3 linked regions of the Arabidopsis thaliana genome follow. The protein of the gene in region 1 interacts with the protein of each later gene in a pairwise test. Each region holds a gene or a part of one and is shown in the gene's direction. Other genes may lie near its edges.

Region 1 (3,006 bases):
TGGGTAAGCATGAATGTATAACAGTAAGTGAACCTAAAAGCAATAAAAAAAACTCTTGGGATAACATTCAAGATGAAGTAAATTGAGTTTTTTTTGTTAAGATGATAGCATCTACATTCAAAATGTGTTAATACTCCATGAATAATAATACCAAGTTTAATTTTCTGGAGCTCATGTTTTATCTAAAGAGAACGATGCGCATGACATTCACCTAAAAAAACTTTGGACTAAGTCAAGAAGCTTCGACCAATTTGCTTTAGGTTCAACCTGAGAGAGAATAAGCTATGAGAGTTTCAACATAGCAGAGCAGTGAGTGCCACAAGAAACATAATAATGCCCTAGAAACATCTAATGACTGACTAATCTGGACACGAGACTTTTGCACATACCTGGAATTCACCTGCCACAAATTTCAACACAGACATCATAATTTTAAGATTTAGTGATGTTTTTGCCTCCTTGGACGGAAACAGTAAAGAAAGTACCTGGCGGGAGAACTGGATACAAAACAAGACAGTCAAGGCGTACGAGAGAGAGAGACAGAGACAGAGCCACAGAAGGACATGTAAACTTGGGAAAGTCACCTTATAAAAATGACATTTTGGCAACGGGGATACAGAATATTCCTCTAGTGTAGAGATGCAAAAAGAATGCACAAAAGCCTCATCGAAACGCTCTGCTTCTCTAATTACCGAGAGAGCACACTCTCCCATATCTGACAAGACCAGCTTGAGAAACTTATGGTGTTCATTGGCATCCAAATACCTAGAAAAAAAAGAAGAAGAAGAAGTGAAACTTGTTGACTTGTACAGCAAGGGAAGCATAAGTCTCACGGTTTTATTTACCTTAGCCAGGGTTTTAGCCCTTGTAGAAGAGAAATGCCCCTCAAGTATTGGAGATCGTTCATATCCCGCGACATTGCTACAGACCTGACGATGGACGCCACAACCATGAGTTGGACTCTTGCCAGTTTAGCTCCTCCAAATTCGGGATCTGGTAAAAACGGTACACCTTTGGACTCGGGTTCTCTAACTCTAAAACCATCGTCGTAGGCGGGTCCTTTAAGGTGGTCAAGGACTCTAAAACCATCGTTGTAGGCGTGAGTGAACCAACCCCAGGCCTGGTAACAGTGAATCAGCCCGACTCTCTGAAGCTGGACGGCTAGAGGATCGTAGGAGACCAATTCGCAGCATTCCAAACAGAAATCATACGCGCGGAACAAATCCCTAGGGGATCCTTGGGTGAGGCGTTTATGCAGGAAACACACGGATTTGATGATGAAGGGGATGAATTGCTGCGAGATGGATCCAACGGGAGACCTTTTTTAGTGGAATTAGGTTTACTTTTTTAGTTCCCACCAAAGAGTGCGAATCTCTTTAAAGTTAACGTAACATGCAAATCGATTTTAAAGTTTTTTGTTTAAAGTTGGAGACGAGTAAGAACGAGAGTAATATATAATCAACTTTGAAAGTCTCAACTCTCAAGAAGGAATCAAAAGAGACCCATTGACTTCTCAAAAGTCAAAACATTGATCACGTCAACAACCATCTTCTACACTTAATCGCACGTTCTTCTTGGTATATATTATGATCATAATCATCCATTAATTCTCGAAACAAATAAGAAAAACGAAAGAATATGTCTTCACCATCTTCCCTAACGCAGAGAAACCCAACTAGTTCGCAAGAGCAATCGGAGTCTGTTCCACAGCTAAGGAGGCAGACATCTCAACATGCAGTCATGTCACAGACGCTAACCTCAGCTGCAAACCTGGCAAATCTCCTTCCAACCGGAACGCTCTTAGCTTTCACGCTCCTCATACCCGTCTTTACATCCAATGGTTCATGCGATTACCCGACCCAGGTTTTAACCATAGTGCTCCTCACGCTTCTCTCCATCTCCTGCTTCCTTAGCTCCTTCACTGACAGCGTCAAGGCTGAAGACGGTAACGTTTATTACGGTTTTGCTACTCGTAAGGGCATGTGGGTTTTCGACTACCCTGACCCTGACGGTTTGGGTTTACCCAATCTTAGTAAATACCGGATAAGAATTATTGACTGGATCCACGCCGTTTTGTCGGTTCTTGTGTTTGGTGCGGTGGCTCTGAGGGACAAGAACGCCGTGAGTTGTTTTTATCCGGCGCCAGAGCAAGAAACCAAGAAGGTTTTGGACATTGTTCCAATGGGTGTTGGGGTTATCTGTGGCATGTTGTTCTTGGTTTTTCCGGCGAGAAGGCACGGTATTGGATATCCGGTCACCGGAGACGGGGGTCGTCGTTAGATTTGTTATTTATTTCCAAATAGATATAAGCAATTTGATTATTTAATGTTTGGTTGACTAATTCGCTTGTGCATGTGATCATTTCGTGTTTGTCTCATCTACTTCCAATTCTAATAATGATTTTAATTTTGTTCTTTGTTTAGTGGACAATTATTTACGCAAGCAATCTTATTATACGTTCTGCTTGGTCATAAACTAATAATACACTTAGAGGTGTGAAATGCTTAAGATGCCTTGTCTAATTGAGTTAACACACGATATCAATAAACTGAAAGCTATAAAAAAAAAAACTTGGTTAATTGTTTGATCAGGAAGTGGCTGAACTGAGAGGACCATCCAGGTTGGGACCTTTCAAAAGAGCATGTGGACAACACAGTTCTTGTAAGACTCACACTTGTCATGTTGTTTACTCTGACTTTCATCTCTTGCCATGTTTATTTGAGACATACATGCGTCTTCCCAAAGGAAATAAGAAAACCTGTGGAGGTTTATAAATTCCTTTCTCTGCATCCGTTTTACTTACTTGCAAAATGCAGAGACTCTGTAGCCACTAGCTAAACACCGTTGCTAGCTAGGTAATATGCGAGATCTTGAGTTCTGTTTACTCCAATTGCTGGCAGAGTCGGTCAAGGACTCAAACACAAAATCTTGCACAATGATACCATATCAGCAACCAATTCCATACTCGATTAAGCTGTCCTTACTCGCCCTAGTCATAGCAACTCA
Region 2 (4,702 bases), on another chromosome or scaffold:
TCTGTAGATCAAAATGAGAGCGAGAGATAGGCTTTACGCTTATCATCAAAAGATTTTTATAATTCAAGCACACACATTTATATCTACTGACATCATGAATTGCAAAACAACTGAGAGAAAGAACCAAACCTGGTAAGCCATCCTATTCAGGTTCCTAGCCCCGTAATAGAGTCTTACGTCAGATCTTCTATCAGCGCCAAATCCTGATTCGATTAGTGAGCGGATGGGGCTGCAGAGATAAGAACATGTGAGATTACATTCCAAATTGAAGACAGTTACTTAATTCACATCACCATCACTAAACATTTTTGATTGACCAGGCCTAGAACAATAGATGATTGAAAGAAACACCTTTACTTGGCATAAACAACAGATCTGATCGATCACCAAAGTCATAAAAACATTGACCTTTCATACATGAAACTCTATTTCAGTATTACAACATCATCACAGTAAAAAAATAGCCACAAAATTGGTCCATGGCACCTTTGGATAGATTGAAATCATACTGGAGTTCACAAAAAAGGTCCACAAAAAAGCAATTGAACCCGGCATCACAGAGGATTCACCGCAAAATGAGTAACTAAACTAGATTCAAGATACTTGAGTTTGAAAGCTTTGTATCTAGCTAATGCTCTGCACTGAAACCTTTAAACTAGACCACACTTGGATCATTGAATACATGAAGTAAAAAAGACAACTTCAGCAATCCAACAAGGTAGGAGAGAAAATGGAAAAAGCTCTCACCTAATTCCAGATCCAGTGGCGAAAATCAAAACGGTGGGATATTCCTCAGGAGGATCAATCAGATCGATATTGAAACCATTACCCATCACAGAGCTAAGCTCAACGGTCTCTCCTTTCTTCAACCCGCAGAGAATCTCCGCGGTAGAACCAGCGATGCTCTTGACCAAGAATTCGAAAGCACCACGAGAAGACGCCAAGGAAGGAGGAGAAGCGATTGCCATAAAAGAAGGCTTCTCAACATCAGGAACACGGATCTGGAGATACTGACCGGGTCTCGTGTACGAAGCTACGAGATCCGGAGCGTTTGAAATGTCGATTGAGATGTGGAAAAGCGATTCTGCAGCTGATTCGATTAGAGAGAGAGGAGCTGGAGTCCAGAGGGAAGCGTCCTGGCGAACGGCGGCGGCGGATACAACGGAAGCGACGCGGTTATTTCGGGATAAACGGAGATGGCGTGTAAGAGGGAGATGGCGCAGGATAAACATGGGGGAGAGGGAGTGGCTAAAGTGCGCATGGGTGACAGAAGGCGCGAAAGGAAGAGTGGACATGGTGGAGAGTTTTTGGGGCTCTATATGTGACCGTCAAATTTAGCCGGCGGTAGAAAAGGGCGGCCCGATTGGTTCGGTGGCACGATTGTGTTATTTTTTTTTGCTATGCACCTAATTTCCTTCCGTTACAATGTTTTGCCACGTGGATGATCAAAATATCATTCTATCTACTTTCCGACCACTTGTTGTGATACTTCGAAAATTGCATTCCCTCTTCATTTAATTTTGCTAGCTCGTCTTTCAAAGAAAAAACACCAAATCATGTAATTAAAAGACAGAATTGTGGAAGAAAAGTGACAAGCAATATGCATATTAAAAAACGTAAGAGTACATTATCAATGAACACTCCCTACCGTTGAGCCAAATTTAACGTATATATTTCATTCATGGTTTTGGAATTTTGCCAAGTGGCACTACACTATAGATTCCCTTGGTAAGGAATTACACATAACCAAGCACCAAAAAGCAGACAGTAGTACTTCACGATTATCACTCACCACTTTCCGTTTCAACTTTCAAACTCTCTCTCACAAGCCATGCAAGACGCGGAGAGAACCACCAATGATCCGGTAGACAGAATTGAGAAAGTGACATGGAGAGATCTGCAAGACGGATCTTTCACCGCAGAACTCAAGAGGCTTATCTGCTTTGCGGCTCCTATGGCTGCCGTGGTTATCATTCAGTTCATGATACAGATAATCTCAATGGTGATGGTGGGTCACCTCGGTAGACTCTCCCTCGCTAGCGCTTCCTTCGCAGTCTCCTTCTGTAACGTCACTGGCTTCAGCTTCATTGTTTGTTTTCCTTTTCCTTCTTTCCTCTAAATTGACGCACTTATCTCTGTTACTAGCTACCAGAACCATGGAAATTGCATCCTCTCCTCACTTTCTTGTTACTTTTTGATGATAGATAGGATTGTCATGTGCCTTAGATACTTTGAGTGGTCAAGCTTATGGAGCTAAGCTATATCGGAAACTAGGTGTTCAGGCTTACACAGCTATGTTCTGTCTTACTTTAGTGTGTCTCCCTCTCTCTCTCCTATGGTTCAACATGGGAAAGCTTATTGTGATCCTTGGCCAAGACCCTGCTATTGCTCACGAAGCTGGTAGATATGCCGCTTGGCTCATCCCAGGACTGTTCGCTTACGCCGTTCTTCAGCCGCTCATTCGCTACTTCAAAAACCAGAGCTTGATCACACCTCTCCTCGTCACCTCTTCTGTTGTGTTTTGTATCCACGTTCCTCTCTGCTGGCTTTTGGTTTATAAGTCAGGGCTTGGTCATATTGGAGGAGCCTTGGCTCTCAGCTTGTCATACTGGCTCTATGCCATTTTCCTTGGATCTTTCATGTACTACTCCTCTGCCTGTTCTGAGACACGCGCGCCGCTTACCATGGAGATATTCGAGGGCGTTAGAGAGTTTATCAAATATGCTCTTCCTTCTGCGGCTATGCTTTGGTACATCACTTTTCTCTGTTCCTTTTTCACTTCTCATTGCCTCCACATTTTTTGTTAGAAACTCTTTTATATATGGGTTGCAGCCTGGAGTGGTGGTCATATGAACTCATAATATTACTTTCTGGTCTGTTACCCAACCCACAGCTGGAGACTTCTGTGCTCTCTATCTGGTACTCATCCTTGCATCTTTCCATTTCCTGTCACAATCTTGAATTTGCAAAATCATAATGTTATTCATACTACGGACAGTTTCGAAACACTTTCAATAACTTATTCAATACCACTAGCGATCGCGGCTGCAGCAAGGTTAGAGCTTTTGTCACCACTATCCAGTACATAAATGCTGAAGTATACTTTCTGTTATGGTTTCATGTTCATAAGCAAGTACATTGTGCAGCACAAGAATCTCAAATGAGTTAGGAGCTGGAAACTCTCGAGCAGCACATATTGTGGTCTATGCGGCAATGTCTCTTGCAGTAATGGATGCATTGATGGTGAGTATGTCTCTATTAGCCGGCAGGCATGTTTTCGGCCATGTTTTCAGCAGTGACAAGAAAACCATCGAATATGTTGCAAAGATGGCTCCGTTGGTCTCTATTTCTATCATACTGGACAGTTTACAAGGGGTTCTCTCAGGTTCGAGATTTTTTCCCATTTCGTTTCTCAAACATAAGCTAGTGTCGAATATACAGCTCCAAGTTGTCATGCCTGTTCATGTTGTACTCTTTTCTGCCATTCTTCTAACCCTCGTTTGATGGTTGGAAGGTGTTGCAAGCGGATGCGGGTGGCAGCATATAGGGGCTTACATAAACTTCGGAGCTTTCTATCTCTGGGGGATACCCATTGCAGCATCTTTAGCCTTCTGGGTTCATCTGAAAGGTGTTGGCCTTTGGATTGGAATACTAGCCGGTGCAGTTCTGCAGACTCTTCTGCTGGCTCTTGTCACAGGCTGCACAAACTGGAAAACCCAGGTCCTTTCCTTTGCTTTTTGTCTTTCATGACATGTTTCTATTTTGGAATAAACATATCGATGTTCAATTGGATGCATTTTGAACTCTAGGCCCGTGAAGCGAGGGAGCGAATGGCTGTGGCCCATGAATCAGAACTTACAGAGTCAGAACTTCCCATCTAAGATTACAGGGACACAGATGTTCCTCCTATTTTACCATTTTTGTAGCAGCCAAATCGTTATATGTTACTGCTGGACTAGTGGTTGCCGTGAATAATTGGTCTTTTCTTTTGTAATATTAGCAGCCCTCAGCAATCGTTATTTCGATGAAGCATTATTCTGGTAGTTCAGAAATACCTTGGACAGAAAATGATGTAGTGATCCAATTCTGCTGATACCAGCTCGCTTATACCTGTAACACAGTAGTTGCGAGTCAGGAAATAGATGTGGGAGCTGCTTCTGAGTCTTGGAGCTAGAGTTTTCAATCACTGAAAATGTTTCTCGACACAGACCTTCACAAGTGTCTCCACAAGTAATAATGACAGGATCACACATATATTACTATCACTAGAAAAATATAACCACCAACAACGTTGCTTTATGTATTCAAACTTTCTTACGATGATGACAATATAGTTTGCAAAATGCATATTAAAAAAAGAAAACGCAGAGAGCCAAGAGTCAGCATCAGTAATCACGCCACAAAAATAAAACGCAGAGAGCATATTAAAATGTTGAATTAATAGGTGGAATAAAGTGACGATTATGTGTTACAAAAATGAAAAATATGGTTTTGTATAAAAACACCAATGTGGCAATGTACATAGTCTTAAAGAACAACACGTACTAAAGCACAAAAAGCAGACAGTAGTTCTTCACTCACACCACTTTCAGTTTCAAATTTCAACTCTCTCTCTTTAGTGTCTCTCTAGCCATGGAAGACGCAGAGAGCACCACCAAAGATCCTGTAGACAGAGTTGAGAAAGTAACATGGAGAGATCTGC
Region 3 (5,048 bases), on another chromosome or scaffold:
CATAATTCAGAAACAACAGAGTAAAATGTATTTATTGCCGTAACAACCATGCCGACCAAAAATAAATGATAGTACTAATTTACATGTCTTGTTATAGGCGATAAGGTTTTAAACTTAGACTACTTATTAGAGTACTTGGGACTTACGAGTGACATGTTTGATATAGAAACATCGCGTTAAACACAATTTGGTAGATGTCACAGCAGCTTTGAAGTAACTAGTACAAATTTGGTGTATGGGTTACATCATCCAATAGTCGTCATCCAATAGTCAATTTCAAACAAAACTTAGCCATTAACGTCTCCTTTGAAATTGTACTAAACTCCATTAGTAAATCTTCAATCTCCCCCATGTTCGAGTAACAATAGATGATTTTTAGTTGTTTTTCATAATGTTTTTTTTATATATAATTTTTTAAAATATGCTTTAGGCCACATAAATGTTAGGACCGGCTTCCTCCTCCTATTTTTAGTAATCTCTCGAATTTCATATCTCAATCGGTTCCTTTCCTACATGTTTATCATTTCATTGTCGATCGTTTGACTCGATTCGATATTTTCGTCAATCATTCATCCAACATGTATATAAAAAATGGAATTTCCCTTTGGCTTTGTGTATTGATGTTAAAACTTGAATTGTTTCTTAGGAGTAGAACTGTTGAATTAGCGATTGTGTATACTCGAACCATAATTCCAAAACAAAGGAATGTGTTTGTGGCCGACAAAGAAAAGAAAAGTATTAATTTTACATGTTATGCTTTGAAACTGATTGGTTACTAACGAGAGAGAACATGTTTTATATATACATCGAAACAAGGCTTTAAACAAAATTTGGTAACTATCTTAGCTTTGATAATGGATAATAATGAAATGGCCATCGAGTTGACGAAGCCAAATTGCCTTTATCACGGATTCAAAAAAAAAACAATCACGAAAATCACGATTTTTTATTTCCTAAATATACATTTATGTCGAAAATGAAACTTCATGAAATAAAAGAAAATTAAGAAATTAACATTAAATGAAATCATGTACCGTAATCAGTAAGGGATGGCGATGATGATGGTGGTTGTCAAATCCTACGAGCCACACACTTTGAGATAATTTCGTGGGCTCCTTCATGCTTCACACAAATTTTAGTTAACTCTCTTTATTTGTTTTGTTTATAAACTATAGTTGACTTGAAAAAGTTGTTTTTTGTGAATTAATTTCTAACCTATTATTAGTTATATACTGAATCTCTGATATCACAATTTATCCAATATTCTACGAAGATAGATTAATCATGAATCCAACAAAATTGGGAAATTGGAGTTTAACCAATTAATGGAAACTACGGCCATCCCAAATTACCAACCGTTTTGTGGAGCCACATTGAAGAGAGAGTCGTTCTCTTAGTAGTTTTGACATCCACATCTACTGTATACATGCATATTTGTCAACGCATTCCTCACTAGGTTCAGCATGGTTCCTTTTTTGGATTATTTCATCAATTGATTCGACATATATTAATAAAGGGAGATACATATTTTGTATCATTTTGCGTGTCGGTGTTAATATTTGATTTGGTGATTAGGAGTAGAAAACTGTTTTGGATGATATTAAAACCAAAGAATGTGTTATGGTTACTATGAACAAACGTTCTCTGCTGTATGTACAAGAACACATTCTTCAAATTTGGTTGATGAGACACATATGTCAAATTTAAATGCGACTCGTGGTGCAGAGCAGAAGCCAAAATCAAAGTACTGTATACAATTTTGAATTTTCTTTTAAGACTTATCAAGAATTTAATGACCACGTAATTCACAGTATTTTGCTTTTTACATACATTTAATGTCGAAAACGAAACTTCTGAATTATTGTTCACTCTTATTACTAGCCACGACCCACACGAACGTTAAATTTCTATCTAATATTTTTTTTTAGTTACAGAAGTTACAACACATGTTACATTTTTCTTATAAATAACCAACGTATGAAACTATACGTCCCATCATAAAAAATATCACTACTAAGAACTTTCAGATTCCACCATATATACTTCACAATCAGTTTGATGATTTCTTAAGCCAAAACTCTAAACGACGCCGTCCGATGAATCTATCACTCAGCGGTAGAAAGATTGCCATGACACGTGTTTCGGCGGAAACTCAGTATATCACTCCCATCGGATCACCAACCCTCGACGAGTTGCTGAAAGACTGCGACAGTTTCCGAAAAGGAGATTCCGGCGACGGCGTAAAAAGCGACGATCCTGCACATCACATAATAGATGTCGAAGCCTTGTACGTAAAACCTGTCCCGTACGTCTTAAACTTTAACAATCTTCAATACGATGTCACACTTCGCCGGCGGTTTGGCTTCTCACGGCAAAACGGAGTAAAGACTCTACTCGATGATGTTTCCGGAGAGGCTTCTGACGGCGATATCCTCGCCGTTCTCGGTGCAAGTGGAGCAGGAAAATCAACGTTGATCGATGCACTAGCGGGGAGAGTTGCTGAGGGAAGCTTGAGAGGCTCTGTAACTCTAAACGGAGAGAAAGTTTTGCAATCTCGATTGTTGAAAGTTATATCGGCGTATGTTATGCAAGACGATCTTCTTTTTCCGATGCTCACCGTTAAAGAAACCCTAATGTTCGCTTCCGAGTTTCGTCTCCCGAGAAGTTTGTCTAAGTCGAAGAAGATGGAGCGTGTTGAAGCCCTAATTGATCAATTAGGGTTAAGAAACGCGGCGAACACGGTAATCGGAGACGAAGGACACCGTGGAGTTTCTGGAGGAGAGAGACGGCGCGTTTCAATCGGAATCGATATTATACACGATCCTATCGTCTTGTTCCTCGACGAACCAACGTCGGGGCTGGATTCTACAAACGCGTTTATGGTGGTGCAAGTTTTGAAACGAATTGCTCAAAGTGGCAGTATCGTAATTATGTCGATCCATCAACCTAGTGCTCGAATCGTGGAGTTGCTTGATCGGCTTATCATTCTATCTCGTGGCAAAAGTGTGTTCAATGGATCTCCGGCGAGTCTTCCCGGATTCTTCTCCGACTTCGGTCGTCCGATCCCGGAGAAAGAGAACATATCAGAGTTCGCACTTGATTTAGTTCGAGAGCTTGAAGGATCCAATGAAGGTACGAAAGCTTTAGTAGACTTCAACGAAAAGTGGCAACAAAACAAGATCAGCCTGATCCAATCTGCTCCACAAACCAATAAGCTCGACCAAGACCGTTCATTATCTTTAAAAGAAGCCATTAATGCGAGTGTTTCTAGAGGCAAACTAGTCTCAGGCTCATCTAGATCCAATCCCACTTCCATGGAAACAGTATCTTCATACGCAAACCCGTCGTTGTTCGAAACATTCATCTTAGCCAAACGGTACATGAAAAACTGGATCCGGATGCCTGAGCTAGTAGGAACAAGGATTGCTACGGTAATGGTGACTGGTTGTCTTTTAGCAACTGTGTATTGGAAGCTAGACCACACTCCAAGAGGAGCACAAGAGAGATTGACTTTGTTCGCATTTGTCGTCCCAACAATGTTCTATTGTTGTTTAGACAATGTCCCCGTTTTTATCCAAGAACGATACATTTTCTTAAGAGAGACAACACACAACGCGTACAGAACATCTTCATACGTCATATCACACTCTCTTGTGTCCCTGCCTCAGCTACTTGCACCTTCCTTGGTATTTTCCGCGATCACATTCTGGACCGTTGGATTGAGCGGGGGATTAGAGGGTTTTGTCTTCTATTGCCTCCTAATCTATGCCTCCTTTTGGTCTGGATCTTCCGTCGTTACCTTTATATCCGGTGTTGTTCCGAATATCATGTTATGTTACATGGTCTCCATTACCTATCTCGCCTACTGTTTACTGTTGAGTGGATTCTACGTCAACCGAGATCGAATACCGTTTTATTGGACGTGGTTTCATTACATTTCAATTCTCAAGTATCCGTATGAGGCTGTCTTAATCAACGAGTTTGATGACCCGTCTCGTTGTTTTGTTAGGGGTGTCCAGGTTTTCGACAGTACTCTTCTCGGGGGAGTGTCTGACTCCGGGAAGGTTAAGCTCCTTGAAACTCTCAGTAAATCTCTGAGAACGAAGATAACGGAGTCCACATGCTTGAGGACGGGGTCTGACTTACTTGCACAACAGGGTATTACGCAATTGAGCAAGTGGGATTGCTTGTGGATTACGTTTGCTTCAGGTCTCTTCTTTAGGATCTTATTTTACTTCGCCTTGCTGTTTGGGAGCAGGAATAAGAGGACGTGAGGTTACTACTTACTAGCGCCCACAAATACATTTGTGCGCATTAGCTACATATTTAAGTGAAGCTTGAAGAATTAGCTTCTCGATGTTACTATACATTTGTGAAGAAGTTGTAAAATTTATACTCATTTCATCTTTGTTTCTTTAAAAGAATATACTGTAAAATAAACAAGTATTTCTTCTTAAATATCCAAATTAGCATCTGATTACTTGAATACACATTTAAATTTCGAGGCAGAACAATTGCTTAAGTAAAGCAAGACCATTACCCTCCTTCAAGGTTTCGCTATCTGCTCGTTCCTTTGTCTTGACTTGGCCTCTGTTTTTCTGTTTCGTTTTCCTTACTTATTGCCTATTGGTGATAGTTCTGTTTCGTAGTGTTGCTCTCCTTTGTTTGCTGTCTTGTCCCTTTGGGTGCAGTTCAAAAAATTAAAATCTAGGGGCTGCTGTTGAATGTTTTGCGAATTTTTCAACCATATAGTTATATCAATATTCAAGTATTGGTGATAGTTCTTTTCCACAATGGTCAGCAAAATAAAATATCAACAAAAGTTCAACCACGAAGTTTAGTAGATATGAAATGAATATTGCGCATCCCACGTTGGAGATATAAGTTTTATGGTCCGGACTCCCTTACTTCATACTTCATACTTCATATATAGTATATTTTACTCAAAGAAAAAAAATGGACAAGTGAAAATCTAGTGAATTAATGTATTCACCTAAATTTGAGATATAATATTTTCTGGTGTGATAGACATTACTCACTATTCAATG

The links. The genes of interacting proteins can lie anywhere in the genome.
Region 2: the proteins of AT4G24310 (region 1) and AT1G15150 interact in a protein complementation assay, tested with the Arabidopsis thaliana proteins (one large-scale study listed by BioGRID).
Region 3: the proteins of AT4G24310 (region 1) and ABCG19 interact in a protein complementation assay, tested with the Arabidopsis thaliana proteins (one large-scale study listed by BioGRID).

What each region holds. Positions count from the first base shown.
Region 1 is NC_003075.7:12,599,262-12,602,267, forward strand, and holds AT4G24310 (transmembrane protein, putative (DUF679)), read left to right. Parts: upstream 1-1,541; 5' UTR 1,542-1,638; coding exon 1,639-2,280; 3' UTR 2,281-2,465; downstream 2,466-3,006. Other genes in the region: AT4G24300 (Peptidase C50, separase), read right to left, coding at 390-497, 585-765, 846-952. UniProt on the Arabidopsis thaliana protein: Involved in membrane remodeling.
Region 2 is NC_003070.9:5,210,843-5,215,544, forward strand, and holds AT1G15150 (MATE efflux family protein), read left to right. Parts: upstream 1-1,632; 5' UTR 1,633-1,831; coding exon 1,832-2,089; exon of another isoform or gene 2,090-2,204; coding exon 2,205-2,749; intron 2,750-2,832; coding exon 2,833-2,919; intron 2,920-2,998; coding exon 2,999-3,055; intron 3,056-3,146; coding exon 3,147-3,385; intron 3,386-3,514; coding exon 3,515-3,720; intron 3,721-3,809; coding exon 3,810-3,881; 3' UTR 3,882-4,200; downstream 4,201-4,702. Other genes in the region: AT1G15140 (FAD/NAD(P)-binding oxidoreductase), read right to left, coding at 130-229, 748-1,295; AT1G15160 (MATE efflux family protein), read left to right, coding at 4,633-4,702.
Region 3 is NC_003074.8:20,433,337-20,438,384, reverse strand, and holds ABCG19 (white-brown complex homolog 19), read left to right. Parts: upstream 1-1,931; 5' UTR 1,932-2,096; coding exon 2,097-4,274; 3' UTR 4,275-4,546; downstream 4,547-5,048. UniProt on the Arabidopsis thaliana protein: Confers selective resistance to kanamycin.